Zea mays: one gene and its partner. The protein of the gene in region 1 binds, or shares a complex with, the protein of each later gene. Links are inferred from orthologs where the notes say so. Each region holds a gene or a part of one and is shown on either strand. Other genes may lie near its edges.

Region 1 (9,403 bases):
TAGATAACCATCCAGAGGCGTACCGATAATGTTAGGGATGTAAAGATAAACTGATGGCATTTTGCCAGAGGGCAATTGTGCCTAGTCGCCTAGAGAAGATCAGGAGTAACCAAGAGCTTGAGGTCCGTAAGTTCTGCCCTTAAATTGGTGAGCATAAATAAACTTAACGGGATTCCTGTCAGATGAGTATATCGTTTATATATTGATCCAAAAAAACAAAGTTTTTACAAGAAAATCAAGTACAGTGTTAGTATAACCCTTGTACCTTTTACAAACTAAAAAAACTCGTATTTATATGTCCCAATGAAATATCAACATAATCGCTGGTTTTCCAAAAGAGGAGATGAAAGCAAACATTTATTTTTTGCCCATAGCAGTACAGATGACTACGGTGGCAAAATATCTGAATTGTGGCAAATAAAGCTTGAACTAGGCATGATTAAAGCATTTGCTTCTTTGCTAGTATATAAATCTAGAAGCATCCGATATCATATTTAAGCCTGTAATATGCCTAGTTTTTGCATCATGGAGTTCGGCGGAGCCAATACAACACGTAGACCCGATAGTTTTTGCCAAAAAAAACAAGCTATTAGTAGGCACAATACATAAACATACCTAGTGGTTATCAGATCTGATCCGAATACAGATAGCCAAATAGGTTAAATTAGGGTTCAGGTGCACATTTTGCACAGAAGGGAAGAGAAGGGGCAGGCATACCTGGTGTGGCAGGCGCTCGTCGCCGACGCCGCAGGCAAAGGGCCCGACGAAGACCTGGGCAGCTGGGAGAAGGGCGGCAGCGGTCGCCGGCGTGTTCGGTTGCGCTGACGCTAGGCCCGGACCCAGTAATGCAGGCACCTGGCCCCCGTGGAAACGGCGGGGGGAATCGAGCGTGTAAAGGGAGAAAACGGCAAACAGGGTGTGAACGCACGACTTCTCTTTTTTGTATCTCTCGTTCTTTTTTCATTCTATTGCCATGACACGTTTTTTTTCGGTTTTTATTCCGCTTGTACCTAATTTTATTATTATAAGTCCTGCCTCATAAAAATCATTTCTTTTTTATCCACAATTGAAGCTTTTTTTCCCATTGCCCTAGTGGTAATTTTTTTTTGTCAGTCTTTTAAAAGTTGTGCTCTAACTAACTTAGAATCTTTTCATTTCACATAAATATGTCATAAGACTTTTCTATTAAATATGTAACATTTTTCTTGTGCCTGTAGAATGTTTTTCTCGAGAATTTGGAAAAAGTTTACTCATAATGGTGGTATAAATTTCCTTTTAGCATGGAATGTTTTGGTCATGAGCTGCATCATTTTGCTAGTGAAACTATAATGTGTTCCTTCAAGAAGTAGAACATTGTTTTATTTTAAGAAAAAATCTTAAGTTGGAACATTTTGTTTTAAAGCTACCACATTTTCCTTTTGAATGTAGTATTTAAGGGCAAACACCAAAAAAATATAATTGATGTTAACATTACTCCCTTCCAAACTATAAGATAATTTGACCCTTTTAGATTCACCATTTTTCTATACATTTAGATGTACACTATATCAACATAATTTGACCCTAAAAATTAAAAATGCTTTATAATTTAAAATTGAGAGGGTATAAGTATAGATGTACAGAAAACACGAAAGCTCGGTCTGAAGCATGTTTTTTTGGTCTGGTACGAGCCCGGTCCAGCCCGCATTTATACGGGCCCGGACCAGCCCGGCACAAATAAGCGGGCCGGACCCCGACAGGAAACTAAGCACGGTGGGCTAGCTCGGCACGACCCGTTTACCTTTAAACCCGTCAAGCCCGCCTTTTTACACTAAATCGTACTTACCGACCTGTTTTTGGTCTGCTTTTTTCGTGCTTACCGGGTCGGTCCGACCCGTTTAGGCTCATAGCGGGCCGTGCTCGGACAGGGAAACGAGCCCACGGGCTTAGACAGTCTGGCCCGGTTTTCTAACCGTGCCTAGCGAGCCGGGCCCAAAACGGGTCGGGCGGCCATTTGGCCATCTCTAAGTATAAGTCATTAGGATTTTGTTGGGAAAATATCCTATGCAATCACTTATCCTGGTGCAAGCATGCAATCAAGCGATCTGGTACATCCGATCTAGATATAATGATAACTGTTATTTTACATTTAACCCCTTCCACCTGAAACCTAGTGTCTATTTTACATTTAACCACTTCCATATAAAACCGTTGCATCTAGACTGGATGCTCTGGATAGTTTGATTGCACGCTTGCACCAAAATGAGTGATTGCACAGGATATGTCCTCGATTTTGTTATGACAAAATATTATTTAAACTAGTGCACTAAAAGTAATGTAAAAACCCTAAACCAATATTACATGCCTCAATCTTTTACTACATATTATAACGTTAAATAAAAATATCTAGTGGAATCTATTAGTAAAATATTTGGTAGAATCTGAAAAGATTTTGACGCTTGGTGCTAGCAGCGAGAAACATTTTAGTTTTTCAACAAAATTACTGTCAAACACCGCAAAGGAGACAAACGTTTCGAGGATGATTATTTGGAACCGATTATCATTTGTACACTAGAAACAAACGTAATATAGTTTCTCATTTAGTTCTAGCTTCAAACTTCCAGCGAACTACCCAATGCAAAATCTAATCTGGATGCAAAATGTTTTTACGAGAAACCTGCCAAATGCACCCTATGATCCATCCAATTCTGACGAGCTTATAAAGCTGATCCTCATTCTTTCCCCTAGGTTTGTAATAGAAAATCGTGCAATCAATATAGGCTCCAAGTAATGAATTATTCTATATAGGATTATTCTCACTATGTGCCAGCAGTACGGTTACAAGGCAAGAAAAAAAAGGTGAAGCAACAAGCTACAAGCCCGCATGCCAAACATACGATCGCAGAAGCGTGCGGTAATGCATGCTTTTACAGAGGTAAACCTCATGGAAAGGGGGAGAAGTTAGGACGATTTCACTAATCTAATGTGATCCGCCGGATCTTGCAGACCAGATGGGTAGTAGGGAGGTCGAGCTGGCTTGCACCATCAGATTTGATCAGATCACGGACCTGGTCCCTCGGGGTGGAGACGCAGGCGTGGAAGGTAGACAGGAATGGAGGGATTGGCATCGAGAGCGCAGAGAGGACATTGTTTAGGTACTCAATGTCAGCAGCGAGCTGCTGTGAACCTCGGTCGGTGATGTAGTGGATTCCTCGGAGCTGCTCCATGAACAAAGCAGTGGCACCTTCGGCGACCTGGTACATGGAAGCAGAGATGATAATCAAGACTGAATGTTCCAACATCAACAGAAGTGGTGCTATGAATTATGATTAAAACATGGGAAGATTCGAAATAGCCTTCTATTCAATCGTATCTTCCTACATGATGTGCAAGTGACCTTTTGCATACGTGTAGAAAGATTTCGCGTTTATTACCTTAAAAATCCACTCGGTGGCAAAGAACTGGGCCTCATCGTTGCCAGCCTCATTGCCTGAGATACCTTCCGCGAGTGGCTCCAGCTGCTGTGGTAAAGTGAGGAGATACTCCCCAACGCTGGTCACGTATGCTTGCGGGTAGGCACTGAAGCTTGGAAGAGGAAGACCACCCTGTTCCTCCACGGATGACCAGATTGGAAGGCGTGCGACCTCACTGAGACGCTGCCGAACCTTAGATATGAGCACATCATAGACGAGTTCATTTACTGTGTCTGAGAAGGCTGCAACTCTTTGTGATGTGAGAGGAAGAGCATGGAATCTTGGATCTTTTGACTGTAAAAATTAAATAAATAAAAATGTTAGCAACATGAGGGCAACTAAATTTAGTTGGGTGGGAAATTTGCAGGTTATGAGTAGGTTCTATGAACAGATCTGATTAACTAGTGATGTGGAGCAGAAGAGGCAAATGAAAATGATTAGATCTCAGCTTCATGTGAAACTAGATGTTCAAGATGTACCACGAAATGTAGTCCTTATGTTTCTACACTGACTAAAACAAGGGAATATGGAAAAGGAACCAAATGAGTCATTTGTCTGGACTGCATAATTTTCATCGAAAACAACCAAGGGCATGTTTATGTATTGTAGTTTTCGGAAAATATAGTATCATAAAACTGTGGTGCAAGCCAAAGAGATAAAAAAAAACCATGATTTAGAAAAAGTTAGTCATGATTGGAGTTATTAAAACTTCAAAAATACTACAGTTTTAACAAAATCATGGTTTTAGAAACTACTAAGTTTACTGTATCCAAACACCCAACAGCTTTTGAAACCATGGTATTGCTCCAATACTTTAAAATACTCCAACCCAAAATAAGTGCACTTCTACAATTCAAAATTTGTCCTAAAATAAGTGGACATCCAGCTATAGACTAGCTAACTTCAGTAGCTTTCTTAACTTTATTTCTTCCTAAGGTTTAATTATTACATGGTGGAGCAACCTTTATAGAGTATATATGTAATTTTACTACTATCTTTGGTATCTCCTACTAAATCTAAAAATACATTTGTTTTGGGATGGAGGGGGTACTCTGCATCCAAACAGGGCCTAATATGTGTTTTGCAAAAATACAGACACAAGGTGAGTCAACCCAACTTGAAATGATGCAATCTGGACCGTGGATCAAAGATCAGATAGTTCAGGACTTGGTTCTATAGAAAAATAAGAAAGATTCATTCATCAAGTTCTATCAGGTGATGATTGACATTGACTGCAGATCATGCATCACTATGCAAGTTTCAATCAATATTCAGATATACAGTTACAACCCAGAGACATAAGTGATGACTCCTGTGTTGTAAGTTGTAACAGAAAATTTGAAAATTTAAAACAACAAAACCTACCTGTTCTAGCACAGTTAAGAACTTCTTAGACTTATCTGGCAGATCACTTAAGCGAATAGCTGCAATGTCCAGCGCAGCCCTCCCAGCAAAAGACAAGTCTGCATTCTCATCAGCAGTTGCTGCAGGTGATTTATCCAGGCTTGAGCCAAATCCAGAAACAGAAAAGTTTGTTCCAATCCTGGCAAGTGTAGCTCTTAAAGAAGCTTCAAAGACTGAGGTTCTGCTAGTTAGGCAATCAGCAACTGTAAGAATTTGCAAAGCACCTTGGACAATAGACCATTCTTCCTCTTCAGAAACATCCACCAATCGTTGTACTTCCTTTTTCTCTAAACCTGCATCTTTTTTCAAGGCATCACTATCCAGTCCACAGATTATCCTCAGGGACTTCAATGTTTCTTGGAGATTAGATATGTACTGCAGCATGACGTCATCAAGAGCCAGTACCAGTTCATCTGCTTCTGAACCACCAGTCAGACTAATGCATCTCTCCACAGCTGCCTCAAGGAGTACTATCATTTCTGGGATGGATTCCTCCATTCTGCGGACAGTTTCGCTCAGCTCTATACCCTGTGCACCAACACCACGAGGGACGGCCCCACGGATGTCGATACTTGTCATCTCAGCAGAGAGTATAGCACGCTCCATCTGCCCATACCTACATGACACCCAATAAAAAGACACGCAGCACCAAATGATCATTGCCATACATCAATTGCATCAAAGAAATCTCATAAATGCAGCTGGTAACGAGATGCAAAACAATTTTTTCCTTTGGTGGTTGTGTGTGCATTGACCAATTGATTTAAGTATTTACCTTCCTTTAAAGGTTTCATATGGGGGAATAAATAGCTTTCGACCAATTGATCTAAGTATTTACCTTGCTTTAAAGGTTTCATATGGAGAATAAATAGCTTTCAAAGTATTCAGCACAACTGCAAGATCTGATTCTGAAAATAAGTACTGAATGTTCCTAGCAAAAGTGCCAGTCATATTGTGCAGTTCAATTAGCGCTTGAAGATGCTTATTCTGCAATTTGGTGCTTTTTGGTAAGTCACCTGATAGAACATCCAATATACCTGGATACAGAGAACAAAAACACAATTCTCTGTTAGGAAAACAAGCAAGATTAAGCAAACAAAACTAATAGCTTGTTAAAGCACAAAAATATATGTGATAAAACCATGGGATAGATGTAGGTCAAAATAAAATTAATGAGCAATCTATGCATTACCTTTGGCAATAGATCTGGTTTCAGGAATAACATCCCCGGTTGCTATATTTATACGAGAGACAAAGCTTGAATTCAACTCACTCATGGTCTCAGTAAGTACTTTTGGTACAAGTGATTTGTATTCGTCAGGGAAAGCAGTCAAGCACCTGTGAGCATCACCATTTCCATTTAGAGCAACCACAGGCTAAATTGCAGTTCTGATAGGGAAAAATAAGTGTTATATTTTTTGGTCTAAACAATGTGTTTTATTCATTATGCCAGATATTGCTTAAGGGCTGCTTCTAAAAACTGACTTCCGCTTAACCACTTTAGAACTAGTCCTAGGTATATTTAACTCAGATCAAAGGTGAAGATCACCATGAACATACCACTTCCACTCTTGTTCAAGGTAAAGCAGTGTCTCATCATAGAAATTAGGCAGCCAACTAGAGAATGAGAGGCCACTAATGCTTTCACCACTGAGTTTCTCCATGTCTACCTTGCTGGATCTTTGCTTTAGCTCAAAATCATCCCAGAGTTTCTTTAGAGGCTTAACATGGATCTTAGTGTATTGCACTTCCAGTGACTTGAACCTATTGATACGGATCAGTATACCACGAAGATCTTGCACGGCATCAACCTTTCAAAAAAGAAACAGGTTCCGAGTAAAATAGAGATCCTCAATGTAACAAACCACTACCTCCGCTTTGAGTTGAAAGTCGTGTTGTTATTTCTAGATATATAGCTTTTACTACGTATCAAGACATAATGTATTTTAGGTGCATAGCAGAAATTATGTATCTAGAAAAGCCAAAACGACTTAAAATTCGGAACGGAGAGAGTATTGTTTTGTGGGGATTATACCTTGCGATTAGAAAGTGCATCTACTAATCGAGGCTGCACCATTTCATCTAGCCTTTCTTCCAATACTTCAAGTTGTTTTCTGACGTTTGCAAACTCGGCAACCTGAAAGAAACCTTGTTATAAGCAAAACAAACAGGCTGTGTATGCAGCTCATGGCTTTTTACAGAGAGTATGACACCTCTCCAACTGCTGACAAGCAATGTCTCATAGTTGCCAGGGTTTCTGCAGCTTTTGGAAGATTGCCACTAGAAAACACATCCTCAACACTCTGGCTCAACTGAGCTAACCCAGCAGCATCCTGCCATTCCATCAAATGAACTCTTAAAAATAATAAACAAGAATTTACCACATTAGTAAAACTATACTCCAGTGGTGTGCCATGGTCTACAACTCCAGATAGACCTTACCTGCAATGTTGTGTATGCGGCTTCCATGCGCTGTTTCACAGTGTCAATACGCGCTAGTGCAGCTATTGATTCTGCGGATGAGCCCTCAGCCTGGATGGAAATATATTATATAACCATGAATACTTTGTTAGTTGTCGCCTTAGCAAAAATGTAGCTGGAACAGAATACAGTATATCAAGATAGAGTGAGCTTGGGCAGAGGGATAGACTGCAAACCCCCGAGAGATTAGTTTGGTGTACAAGAATGGTTCTCTCACGGTCACACAATGACACAACTGAAGGCCAAGATTTTATTTTCCTTGCATATTGTTGTACTGGAATTTTTATCACCTCAGTATGTAAGCATTACTAGAACTCCATGGCTCTTTGCCTTTTTTTTGGCAAGCAAAGAAAAGTTCTATGCAGATTGCCTTCGAATCTGAATGTCTGAATTGCTCCTAATTTTAACTCTTACAATACGCTCAAGTTTGTAAGTACATAAAATGACAATATCCAAATTAGTCCGCATGACATCTAATGCAACTATGTCAGAGTGTAGCTTAGTTTCACAAAACCCGGAGGCCCAAAACATTTCGAGATAAACTTTCAACTGGTAGCAGATTTGGGCAACGAAATCTGAACATAAACTAATCAAACTAAATGACTCACTCGTGAATTTCGTACTACTTGTACGCTAGTACGCTACAATTGTACTCATGTCGTATCCAAGGTGAAACCCAGGCAGATGAAATCAGACTTGACTAGACATGGATGTGAGATCCAGATCCATCTGAAATATACGTGCGAAGAGACTACGCGCGGTAAGCTATTCCAGAGCTCGAAGCAATCCATCTCGGTTTCGCGTAATAAACCCACGGGATTGTTAGTGAGTCCCAGATCCAATAAGGAGAAAGCCACAGGGACGGAGGCGCGTACCAGGGAGAGGGACTGGAGGACGGAGGCGAGGTGGGAGCGTAGGGCGACGGCGTCGTCGCGGAGGCGCAGCGCGTCGCGGCATGCCAACGGGACGCGGCGGAGGGCGTCGCCGCTATCCCTCTCGAGCGCGGCCGCGGCGTCGTCGGCCGCGGAACGCAGGCGCTCCTCGGCGTCGGCGAGGAAGCGATCGAGAGGCTCCGACGGGTGCCGCGCGTCCAGCGCCGCGTTGATCCACCGCTTCGGGTCGAAGCCCTCCGCCCCGAACTCCGACGCGTCCACGACCACCATTTCCGGTGCACGTCGGGAGAAAGCGCGCGGGTTCCCTTCACTGCTTCTCTGTCTCGGCTCCTCGGGTGTCTGCACACTGCACTCTGCAGGGGAGTAGGGACGAAGAGTTTTTTTTTTTTTTTTGTTTGCTATTATAAACCTTATTAGAGCATCTCCAACAACGTGAACTATAAAAATGCCTTATAATTTAAAAATAAGTAAATTTTATAGAATTTAGGGCACCAACAAAACACCCCGCTCCAACAGTAAAGCCCCAAATCTAGATTATAGGGCAGCCCACTACGGTGTAGTATATTTGAGGCACTTGAGAGGGTGCCCTATAGTTTTTTGACAAAATTTGTTGAATTGAGGCACTGTTGGAGTAGTTTTTCCTGTGTAGAGCACTATATTTCAATTTGAGGCATTAGTTTGAGGCATTGTTGGAGATGCTCTTATATAACCGGCTTCGACACAATAATATATATAATTTAGGGCGTGTTTAGTATGACTTCAGAGCAAAACTCTAAAGAGGAGCTGGTAGAGTATGTCAAACACCTTAACTCCAGAGTTGTAAACTCTATGGAGTTTTTGGAGTTGCAGTATAATTTTTTGGAGTACCTCTTTTGCTGCTCCGAAAACTCCAAAAAAACAACGAGATTGGAGTTATTTACCCGCCACTACCACCGGTTATGAGAAACAATTTAAACTCTAGAGCAGAGCTGCTCCATCCAGAGTTTTGGAGTAGAGCTGTTCTAAGATGGAGCAGAGCAATGCCAAACACGCCTTAGTCTTCAATAAAACAACAATCTCCACTGTGATACACCATTATAATAAAATTATGGATCAATTTAAATCTTTTTTATTTTATTTCCCCTTTTTCTGTGACACGAGTAGACTATTTTGTCCTCTCTGTGCATCGTATCT
Region 2 (10,135 bases), on another chromosome or scaffold:
AAAGAATCAAGAAAGAAGAAAGCAATCCAAGCGCAAGAGCTCGAAAGAACACAAGCAAATCACTCTCTCTAGTCACTATGGCGTTGTGTGGAATTTGGAGAGGATTTGATCTCTTTGGTGTGTCTAGAATTGAATGCTAGAGCTCTTGTAGTAGTTGGGAAGTGGAAAACTTGGATGCAATGAATGGTGGGGTGGTTGGGGTATTTATAGCCCCAACCACCAACTTGACCGTTGGTGGAGGCTGTCTGTTCGATGGCGCACCGGACAGTCCGGTGCACACCGGACATGTCCGGTGCCCCCGCCACGTCATCACTGCCGTTGGATTCTGACCGTTGGAGCTTCTGACTTCTGGGCCCACCTGGATGTCCGGTGCACACCGGACAACTCCTGTTCATTGTCCGGTGCGCCAGTATGGGCGCGCCTGCCTTCTGCGCGCGCAGAGCGCGCATTAAATGCGCCGAAGGTAGCCGTTGGCGCCGAAATAGCCGTTGCTCCGCTGGTACACCGGACAGTCCGGTGCACACCGGACAGTCCGGTGAATTATAGCGGAGCGGCTGAAGTGAAATCCCGAGGCTGGCGAGTTCCTGAGGCCGCGCTTCCTTGGAGCACCGGACACTGTCCGGTGTACACCGGACAGTCCGGTGATTTATAGCGCGCCGGCCTGAGAAATTCCCGAAGGTGGCGAGTTCGAGTTGGAGTCCTCTGGTGCACCGGACACAGTCCGGTGGCGCACCGGACACTGTCCGGTGTACACCGGACAGTCCGGTGCCTCCAGACCAGAGGTGCCTTCGGTTGCCTCTTTGCTCCTTTGTTGAATCCAAAACTTAATCTTTTTATTGGCTGAGTGTGAACCTTTTACACCTGTATAATCTATACACTTGGGCAAACTAGTTAGTCCAATTAATTGTGTTGGGCAGTTCAACCGCCAAAATTAATTAGGGACTAGGTGTAAGCCTAATTCCCTTTCAGTTTTCAACACTTTCTTGATTAATTTGATTGTTCTGATGTATCAACCTTTTTGGCTAGATGCAATGACAGTGGAAAAAACAATAAGGATATATTCAAAACAATAAAATGGCAATGTTAGAAAGATCGATTGTATGATACAACCGAATCAATTGTTCCCCAATGAAGTCACAAAAAATATGTTGATGCTTAATTAAGTCACCACACTTTTATAGTGTGTTTGGTTTGTGGAGTCACTCTATGCTTAATGAGGTGATGCATCATAAGTTCATCCATCAATTTTGGTGGAATCAACTCACTCCTCATGTTTATACTAATTATTAGCTTATGAGGAATGGGGTGACGATGGATCAATCCATTCTATTCCACAAACCAAATAAAAAAGTGATGAATGAGAAGAAGATGGATAACTTCATTCCTCAAACCAAACACACTCTTAAAGAGCTAGGTCGCTCGATGATAGGCCTAGCCAACTATTAGGTCGACTGATGCATAAGTTATGTTTTCACACTCAAACCTAATGCCTCTAGCAATGATCATGATACACAGGACACATCTATGGGGGAGCCTCATTGGGAGCGCAATACACAATACATTGTTGATGTGGTCTCTTGATATAACAACCCGCATGACCAGGAGGGACCTCGTCGAGCCATGTGACGACTATGGACTGCCCTAGCTAGCCTAACCGGTCTAGGTCCTTGTCCTCATCAAACCATCGGTCATACGTTAGCGATAAAGAATAAGGAGAATAAGTATATGAGAAAATAAAGGGTAAAAATAGTAGATATGTTTTTTTATGATTGGTTGTTGGATCGCTCGATCTTCCATGACCCTCTAATATGTGTGTGTAGAGAGAGAGGTGGCATTATCCTAGCTAGGGATGGCAACGGGGATTTCCCCGTCGGGGAATGACTCCCCATCCTCGTCCCCGTGGGGAGGAAAATTCCCCGTCCCCGTCCCCGCGCGAACGCTCACGGGAAAGCTTTTTCTTCCATCTCCGTCCCCGTCGGGGAATTTATCCCCGTGGGGAACCTCACGGTGAATCTGTCCCCCACTAGAAGTACAATATAAGATAAATTTAAATTAATTTTATCAAATTAATACAAATTTAACAAACAAGATTAAAAATTACAAGAGACATCTAGTTTAGAGTTTAGTTTGTTGTTTTATAACATGTCATACATTGAGTTTTTACTATAATTCTAACAAATAAATTGACTAACTTGAATAAAAAAGTTTCGTGGGGCGGGTACACGGGGAACCCGTCCCCGTCCCCTCGAACCCGACGGAGATTAAATTTCTCCCATCTAGATCCCCGCGGGGACTAAATTAGTCACATACCCGTCCCCTAATAGGAGAATTTCCCGCGGGAAATTGAGGATCGGGTCCCCATTGCCATCTCTAATCCTAGCAGGGGATCTTTCCGAGACATTTTTTTATGAATCTTGAACAATTCAGATCAAAATCCAAAAGGTTATTTTTAAATATAGCTTTTTAGGTTTGTCATAATTATCGTAAGAACTTTCTACATTTGTTGGAACCTTCAACATGATGATGATCTTGGACACTAAGCAAGTTTTATGTTTCTCGAAAATTCTGATATTAAAACTATAAACCACATAGCATCTTTTTGAAAACTAATTTAATCTGAACTCTAAATTAGACTTGCCTATATATCATTTTTATCATCTTGCCAAGAGAAATGTAATGATGAAATTCATTCATATTTTGTCAACTTCACAAAATGGACAACCTTAGTTGTCAACAGTGGTTAACTTTGACAAGTAAAAAATATCACAAATATAGGCATATATAATCTCTATTGTATAAAGCACTAGTTTTCAAAAATTATGCACAAGTGGGGTTCAAACCTTGGTCATTGTCTCCACGTTCATACTCATTTAACCAGGAGAATACATATTTTTGTGTTTTATATTCTATATTCAAACATAATATAAAATAAAGTTTAACTATGCGATATATATAAATCATAGCGTGTGTCTAACTAGTAATATATTTGACATAAATAGAATGATTAACTGAATAATAATAATAATAACAATAATTAAACAGTTCTTGTTAAAAATAGTTTTCGAAATTAATCGTGATCGTCCCAAGCACAAAACCAACAAATCGGAGCAACGACCTCCATGCCAACTGTATTCGCACTCTCGGCTAGATCTCGCTTCCCTCCACCTCCAGAGTCCAGATCCACCCCGAACTCTCCGAAGGCCGCCCCCGCCATGGCAGCGCCGCCCCCCACCACTCCCCGTCTCCTCTCGCCGACGTCCAAGGACCTTCTCACAGCCGCCTCCTTCACCTCGCCGCCCTCCCCCACCTCCGACGATCCCGCCTCCCCGCTCGACGCCTTCGCCTCCGATCCCGTCCTCTCCGCCTTCCTGTCGCCGTCCTTCTCCCCTTCTGTCTTCTCCTCCGCCGCGCTTTCCTCAGGACTCGCTGCCTCCCGCGCCGAGCAGCTGCAGGATGCCATCCGCCTCCTCCGCCGCCATCTCCGCGTCGAGGTGCTGCGCCGCCACCCCCTCCTCCTCTCCCACCTCCTTTCTCTCCGCTCCGCCTCCGCGTCTCTCTCCTCGCTCCCATCCCACCTCAACCTTCTCTCCTCTCACCTCTCTCTCCTCTCCTCCCACCTCTCGGCCCCGCGCTCCCATCTCGCTCACTCCTCGGCTTCCCTTTCCAGCCTCTTGGCCACAGCCGACCTCCTCCTCCACTCCCACCGCTTAGTGCGCCTCTCCTCCCGACTCCTCGCCTCCTCCCCTGCGCCCGATCTTGCGCGCCAGGCTGAGCTCTACCGCGAGATCCGCCTCCTCTATGAGGAGAAGAACCTCTCCGGGATTAATGCCGTTGACGAGGAGATGCGCAAGGTGGATGCCGCTGCGTCAAAGCTGCGCTCAGAGGCCAGCGCTGTGATCGATGGCGGTGTCTACGAGTCCAACCAGAACGACGTGTGGTGCGGGCTGCAGGTGTACTACAATCTCGGGGAACTGAAGACAGCAGTGGAGGGGCTTGTGGGAAAGCACAAGGCAGCGGGTGCAAAGAGTGTGTCTGTCGCACTGGACATGAAGGCGATATCAATGACTGCTGGCGTTGGAGGTGGTCCTGGAGGGGTGCAGAGGAGTGGTACGCCGCAGATTGGTGGGAGTAAGAAGGCTGCAGAGGCACTATGGGATAGGATGAGGCAGTGCATGGATGAGCTCCACCGAGCAGTGACTGCTGCTTGGCAGTTGCAGACTGTGCTCACTAAGAAGCGTGTGCCATTCACACAAATGCTTTTTCTTGAGGAGGTTTGGCAGGTAAGTGTTTGATGCATGGACTTACTAGATCAGATGAAAATGAATTGAAGTTGCAAATTGGAACTTAACAGTTAACATAGTGGCACAATTGTGAGTATAACACGAAGTCATTGATCACGTGATGTTGGTTTGTGAATTGTTAAGATATAATGGTGATGGAAGAGATCCAAAATGACAATGTAGGCAGTACAGAATGAGCATGTTGATGTATCAGAACACAAATAGATCTTCTCTTGTAAACACATCACATATTTTAGGCTATATGTTTGGTTAAATGAAGTAATGAACTTGAAATTTGAAGGGTACAACTTCAGCTGTTCATACCTTTCCCCCCCACCAATGTCACTATTGTCCGGCAGTTGATACTGGAACTATGCTAGTGATCCCTTGTATCAAGGTGCTTAGTATAGAATGAAATGTGCACTTGGTACCTAGTGGATACCAACAGTCTTTTCAGGCTTCCTTAGTTGTAATTTCAATGAAATGTGATTTTGTACATACAGAATTGCAGGCAATAAGACTATTGTCAATTTCTTTTTTTGCTCCTGTATATAAACAGGACTGGCGTCCCTAAAAGCTTCTGTTGTTTTAACAAAAATAAAATAAATCTTGTGCAGGAGGGTGAGCCTCTTATAACAGAGAGAGTTTGGGATGCAATTGTCAAGGCCTTTGCAAGTCAGATGAAGACTACCTTTACGGCTTCAAGCTTTGTGAAAGAAATATTTACTCTTGGGTATCCAAGACTGTTTTCGATGGTTGAAAACCTCCTTGAGAGGATTTCAAGAGATACTGATGTAAAGGGCACCCTTCCAGCTCTCACTCCTGAAGGAAAAGATCATATGATTTCAGCCATTGAGATGTTCCAGACAGCCTTTTTGGCTCTGTGTCATAGTCGGCTATCTGATTATGTCAACAGCATATTTCCAATGTCAAACCGTGGAACTATACCTTCAAAGGATCAGATCTCAAGATTGGTTTCTCGCATACAAGAAGAAATCGAAGTAGTGAGAACTCATGGGCATTTGCTTGTTCTTGTTCTACGTGAAATTGGAAAGACCTTGCTTCTTTTAGCACAGAGAGCAGAATATCAGGTATCCATTTGCTACCTTTGATGATCTAGCCAAGTTATTTGTATACGTTTTCTGTGTGGATTTTGTATGCTTTCTTCGTTAGCTATGAGTAAATGTAGTCCTTGTGGTAGGTTTAACTAGTAATTTCTGATGTAACATTATGACTTGAAATTTGTGTATACCATATTCCATTACTGTTTTTCTCTTTCTGTCAGACTAGCTTCACTGATTGTAACCAAATATTAGTTGAAGCCTGACCAATGTTTTTTTGGTGATTCTAGTTGTATCTGTTAGCTCCATATATTAAGTGGGACGATTCTTCATAATTCTTTGAGTAATTGATTTGCATTTCACGCCTAAGTCCTAATCTTAGGCATACACAGTTTTACTAGGCAATGTTTAGTTCCTTTTACATTGCAGTCTGCCTAACTTCTTAGCCACCTTGTGTCATATATTCTGATTTCTTGCCTAATTTTGCCTAACCTTAGGTGTCTATTTTGTTGCCACAAAAGTGTGGCAAGACTAAGGTTATCTGTACAAGAACAAGCAAATGCTCATGAGTTTTCAATAGGTCAAGATTGTGTGGCAACATTAGTTGGCAACCAAACATAATCTGCTGCATTAGAATCTGTCTAACCATGTGATTTTAGTTACGTTGAGTCGCTTGCAGTGGCAGTCCTGAGATTTTAGGGACCCGGGACAAGATTTAAAATAGAGGCCCTTCTAATTATTTTATATATATATATATAAATGTAACCAATATAAACCCTTAAGACACATCTAAAAATATAACATGTTTAGATATAATCGAGCTGTGGACATATTGTGACCGCCAACTCTTCGACACTTCGCTGTTGAGCTATTGTGTCATAAAATGATAGTCTGACCACTGAATATATACTATGAACTTGGGGACCTAGGGCGGCCGCCCTGCTGCCCCAACCTCAGGGCCGGCACTGGTCACTTGTTTCCTTTGTTTTCTTCTGAAGACCTTTGCTAGCACCATGCTTACTCTCCAACACCAAAAATACGCTGTGCAAATTTGGCTCAGTTCAGTGATTTTTGGACTTCACTGAGTGACACCTGTTATCCAATATGGTGTACCTAAGCTTGTGTTTTATTCTGATTTGCGTGTGATAGCAAGATAATTGCTGTCTATATTGATTGATTGATAGTACAGGCGCACATATATATAGAGGGATAGAGAGGTGGGAGATCTCAGGTTTATAGAAACAGTACCCTGAGATCTCCTGGAATGGAAGGAAACAATCACTGCCCCTAAATGGGAGGATTGAATCCATATCTTCCTATATGCGGCTGTAGCTAGAAAGGCAAGGATGCCTGCACATGTATGGTAGGGTATCCTGCGCCTATATGGTAGGAGACACAAGTCTGATATATCAGCTAACACGCCCCCGCAGTCTGATCGTCGGTACCGCAGACGTTCAGGCTGGATCTGAACTCCGTGAAGACTGTAGAGGGAAGCCCCTTGTGAAGATGTCTGCATACTGGGAGGTAGTAGGCACATGGAGAACGCGGACATCGCCGAGAGCCACCCGATCCCGAACAAAGTGCAAATCAATCTCAATGTGCTTGGTGCGCTGATGCTGGACCGGGTTTGAAGACATATAGACTGCACTGATGTTGTCACAATAGACCAACGTGGCACGACGTAACGGGTGACGAAGCTCGGCCAGAAGCTGTGTGCAGCAGGGAGGCACAGGGGGTATAGGGGCCCGGAGCTATTGCACCTGACGATCACGTTCCGAGATAGTAGATCCTTCACAGAGCAACCAGAGGGATCAAATTCAATGGAACAGTGATTATCGGTAGTAAACTGGCGAACGGAAATGAGGTTCTTAATAAGTTTAGGTGACACAAGAACATTGTTGAGATGTAAAGAATTATGTAAAGTAGTGGAGCCAGTGGAAATGACAGGAAGAAGGGAGCCGTCACCGACAATAATGGAAGAAGGTGCAGTAAGGGAGGGAGTTGAAGTGTTGGATAGAGTACCGGCGTTGGAGGTCATGTGGGAGGTAGCACCTGTGTCGAAGTACCAGTCAGTCTGCTGGGGCGGAGTCAGGGACACAGTGCTGAAAGCGGATGCAAGGGACTGAGCGTCCCAAGATGGAGTAGTTGGCGGAGCCAGCATGCCGTGGGTAGCGCCTCCCTGCAAGGGGCCGGTCTGCAGAGTGTGTTGCAGGGGGGTGCCTCCCTGTCCTTGAAGAGCACCATGAACATATTGCTGGGTCTGGTGGGCCAGCAGCGCCTGGTGAGGGGCGATGGAGACAGGAGCAGCATGAAAAACCTGCTGTTGCTGGGCCGCCGGAGGCAGCAGGGCCTGGTGCTGCGCCAGGAGACCTTGCTGCTGCTGTGGGGTTGGCGCCCGGGGGCCGGGCCACATCTGGATGGCCCCAGTCCAAGGGTTTTGGAGGGAGGGCCACAAGCCGGGACCAGTGCCAGGGAATGGAAGAATACCCTGGCGGCCTTGGCCACCCCTCTTGCTGCGACGGTTGGGGTGGCCGGAGCGAGGAGCCGAAGGCGCCTTGTTGGAAGCAGTGGGAGCCTTGTTGGAGGCCATCGAAGTCCCGCCTTGTGGAGGTTTGGTGGAGGTAAGCAGGGCGGCGGATGGAGAAGACGCACGATGGGCCATCGTGAGTTCCTCCAACAGGAGAGTGGCCCGGACGTCGTGGAACGTCGGAAAGGGGCGACCGAGGCGAAGATGACGGCCGATGTCGGAGAACCGGTCGCTGAGGCCGCGCAGAACATTGAGGACCAACGTCCGGTCGGTGACTGGTTCACCAAGATCACCAAGGGCATCTGCCATGGTTTTGAAACGGCGACAGTAATCGGAGACAGGTAGATCACCTTGGACAAAGTGTCGGAACTGAGCGTCGAGGTGGAGGGCGCGAGTTTCCCGATTCCCGAGGAACTGATTCTCGAGAGTCAGCCAAGTGGTGCGGGCAGTGGCGCCGCGTTCCATGGCCATTTCAGCAAGATCCGGGGAGATGGAGCCGGAGATCCAGGACTTGACAACGCAGTCCATGCGTGCCCAGTCGGGGAAGTGATGCGCGGGAGTGTCGTCGAGGATGTGGCTGTCCAGGGAGTATTTGCCAGTGACGAGAAGGAACTCATCACGCCAGCGAGTGTAGTTGTTGTTGGCGAGGTCGAGGACGACGTGAACGAGACTCCGGATGTTTTGCACAGCGACGGCCTGGGAGTGGAGGTTGACGATCGCAGCAGCCTCGTGAAGGAGGATGGCGTCGTGGAGGCCCTTGTCATCACCACCCGCTGGATCAGAGTGGTGGGACTGAGTATCATCGACAGGGCTGCCATCGGTGGCAGTCTGAGCAGCAAGGGCGCGCGCATGGGCTGCGCGCTCGAGAGCAGCGCGAACCCGGGCGGCAGCAACATCGCGCTCCTAGGCCGCGGTGGCCGCCTCCTGCTCTGCCTGAAGGGCTTGGGCGAGAGCAGCATCACGCCTAGCAGCAGCTTGGAGGCGAGCTTCATGCTCTGCTGCGGCCTGGGTCGCGGCGTCGTCGAGGAGGGGTGGCTGTTCCAGACCAGCCATGGCCAGGGGAGGGCGCTGCCTGGATGGCGCGCAGAGGGAAGGAGAGGGCGCAGCCAAGACGTGGCGCGCAGGGGGAGGAAGGCGGCGCAGCTAGAGGTCTGCGCGTGAGGGCAGCGGAAGGAGGATGTGAACTTGAACTCGTGATACCATGATAGCAAGATAATTGCTGTCTATATTGATTGATTGATAGAGTAGTACAGGCGCACATATATATAGAGGGATAGAGAGGTGGGAGATCTCAGGTTTATAGAAACAGTACCCTGAGATCTCTTGGAATGGAAGGAAACAATCACTGCCCCTAAATGGGAGGATTGAATCCATATCTTCCTATATGCGGCTGTAGCTAGAAAGGCAAGGATGCCTGCACATGTATGGTAGGGTATCCTGCGCCTATATGGTAGGAGACACAAGTCTGATATATCAGCTAACAGCGTGAAGGGCCTCTAGCCTAGTGGTTAAAGGTTTCCGAGTAGCACCCTCAAGTCCTAGGTTCGATCCCCTCGGGGGTGAATTTCTGGCTTGGTTAAAAAAATCCTCTCGTTGTGCCCCGCCCGCTCCCGGGTTACGTCCTGCGCCCACCCTCCGACTGGGTCGTTGCAGAGTCGGCGGTGACGGCCCGCTAGTGATGGGGGGCTAGGGTTCGGGGATTTTCTTGGCCAGGACCATGTTCCGGTCTCTTCTCAGCCATCAGTGGGTTGTGTGTGCCTTGAGTGCCGGCCAGGGGCGAAACCAAACAATAAAGTTATTGGGGTCAGTTTCACTAATCATCATTAAATGCACTAGATAACAATCTATTTGTATAGCATTTTCCAAATTTTATAGGGGTCAGCTGACCCCAATCCCAACAAAAACCCCTGGCGCCAGCCCTAGGCTTTATACCGGGAGGGCAGTCTTTCCCTCCCCGGCCGAGTTTTTGTTTTATTCTGATTTGTCACCTATTGATATTTATTGCAGAAGTGAAGAAAAGAAACCATGGTTATCTAGCTTGTACATGTCATGGCAAAATACAGTTCAATTGTTATGCACTCTGCTGTACACATTTCTACTGTCTTGTGCATAACTTGGCTTCACATTCAAGTCAACAATATGAACAGTGTAGACATTTTTTTTCCTGTCCTGCACTCTTCACCTGAGGAAAGGCTGGATTCTTATGCTTACCCTTCAGTAAAATAAAAGACCCGTATCATTGCAACATATCATTACCATTTACATGG

Evidence for each region.
Region 2: Conserved oligomeric Golgi complex subunit 7 (region 1) and Conserved oligomeric Golgi complex subunit 5 share a complex: the UniProt entries of both Arabidopsis thaliana proteins name them as parts of the conserved oligomeric Golgi complex. The link is inferred for Zea mays from reciprocal best matches to the Arabidopsis thaliana genes EYE and AT1G67930.

Annotation. Positions count from the first base shown.
Region 1 is NC_050104.1:115,465,834-115,475,236, forward strand, and holds Conserved oligomeric Golgi complex subunit 7, read right to left. Parts: upstream 8,501-9,403; coding exon 8,213-8,500; intron 7,389-8,212; coding exon 7,299-7,388; intron 7,190-7,298; coding exon 7,070-7,189; intron 6,994-7,069; coding exon 6,892-6,993; intron 6,668-6,891; coding exon 6,417-6,667; intron 6,195-6,416; coding exon 6,049-6,194; intron 5,894-6,048; coding exon 5,695-5,893; intron 5,473-5,694; coding exon 4,818-5,472; intron 3,747-4,817; coding exon 3,414-3,746; intron 3,234-3,413; coding exon 2,955-3,233; 3' UTR 2,757-2,954; downstream 1-2,756. Other genes in the region: phosphatidylinositol synthase, read right to left, coding at 24-60. UniProt on the Arabidopsis thaliana protein: Required for normal Golgi function. Necessary for embryo development and pigmentation, especially for the expansion of cells and organs, and for the formation of the organized shoot apical meristem (SAM).
Region 2 is NC_050101.1:153,633,912-153,644,046, reverse strand, and holds the start of Conserved oligomeric Golgi complex subunit 5, read left to right. Parts: upstream 1-3,185; 5' UTR 3,186-3,212; coding exon 3,213-4,280; intron 4,281-4,897; coding exon 4,898-5,371; intron 5,372-10,135. UniProt on the Arabidopsis thaliana protein: Required for normal Golgi function.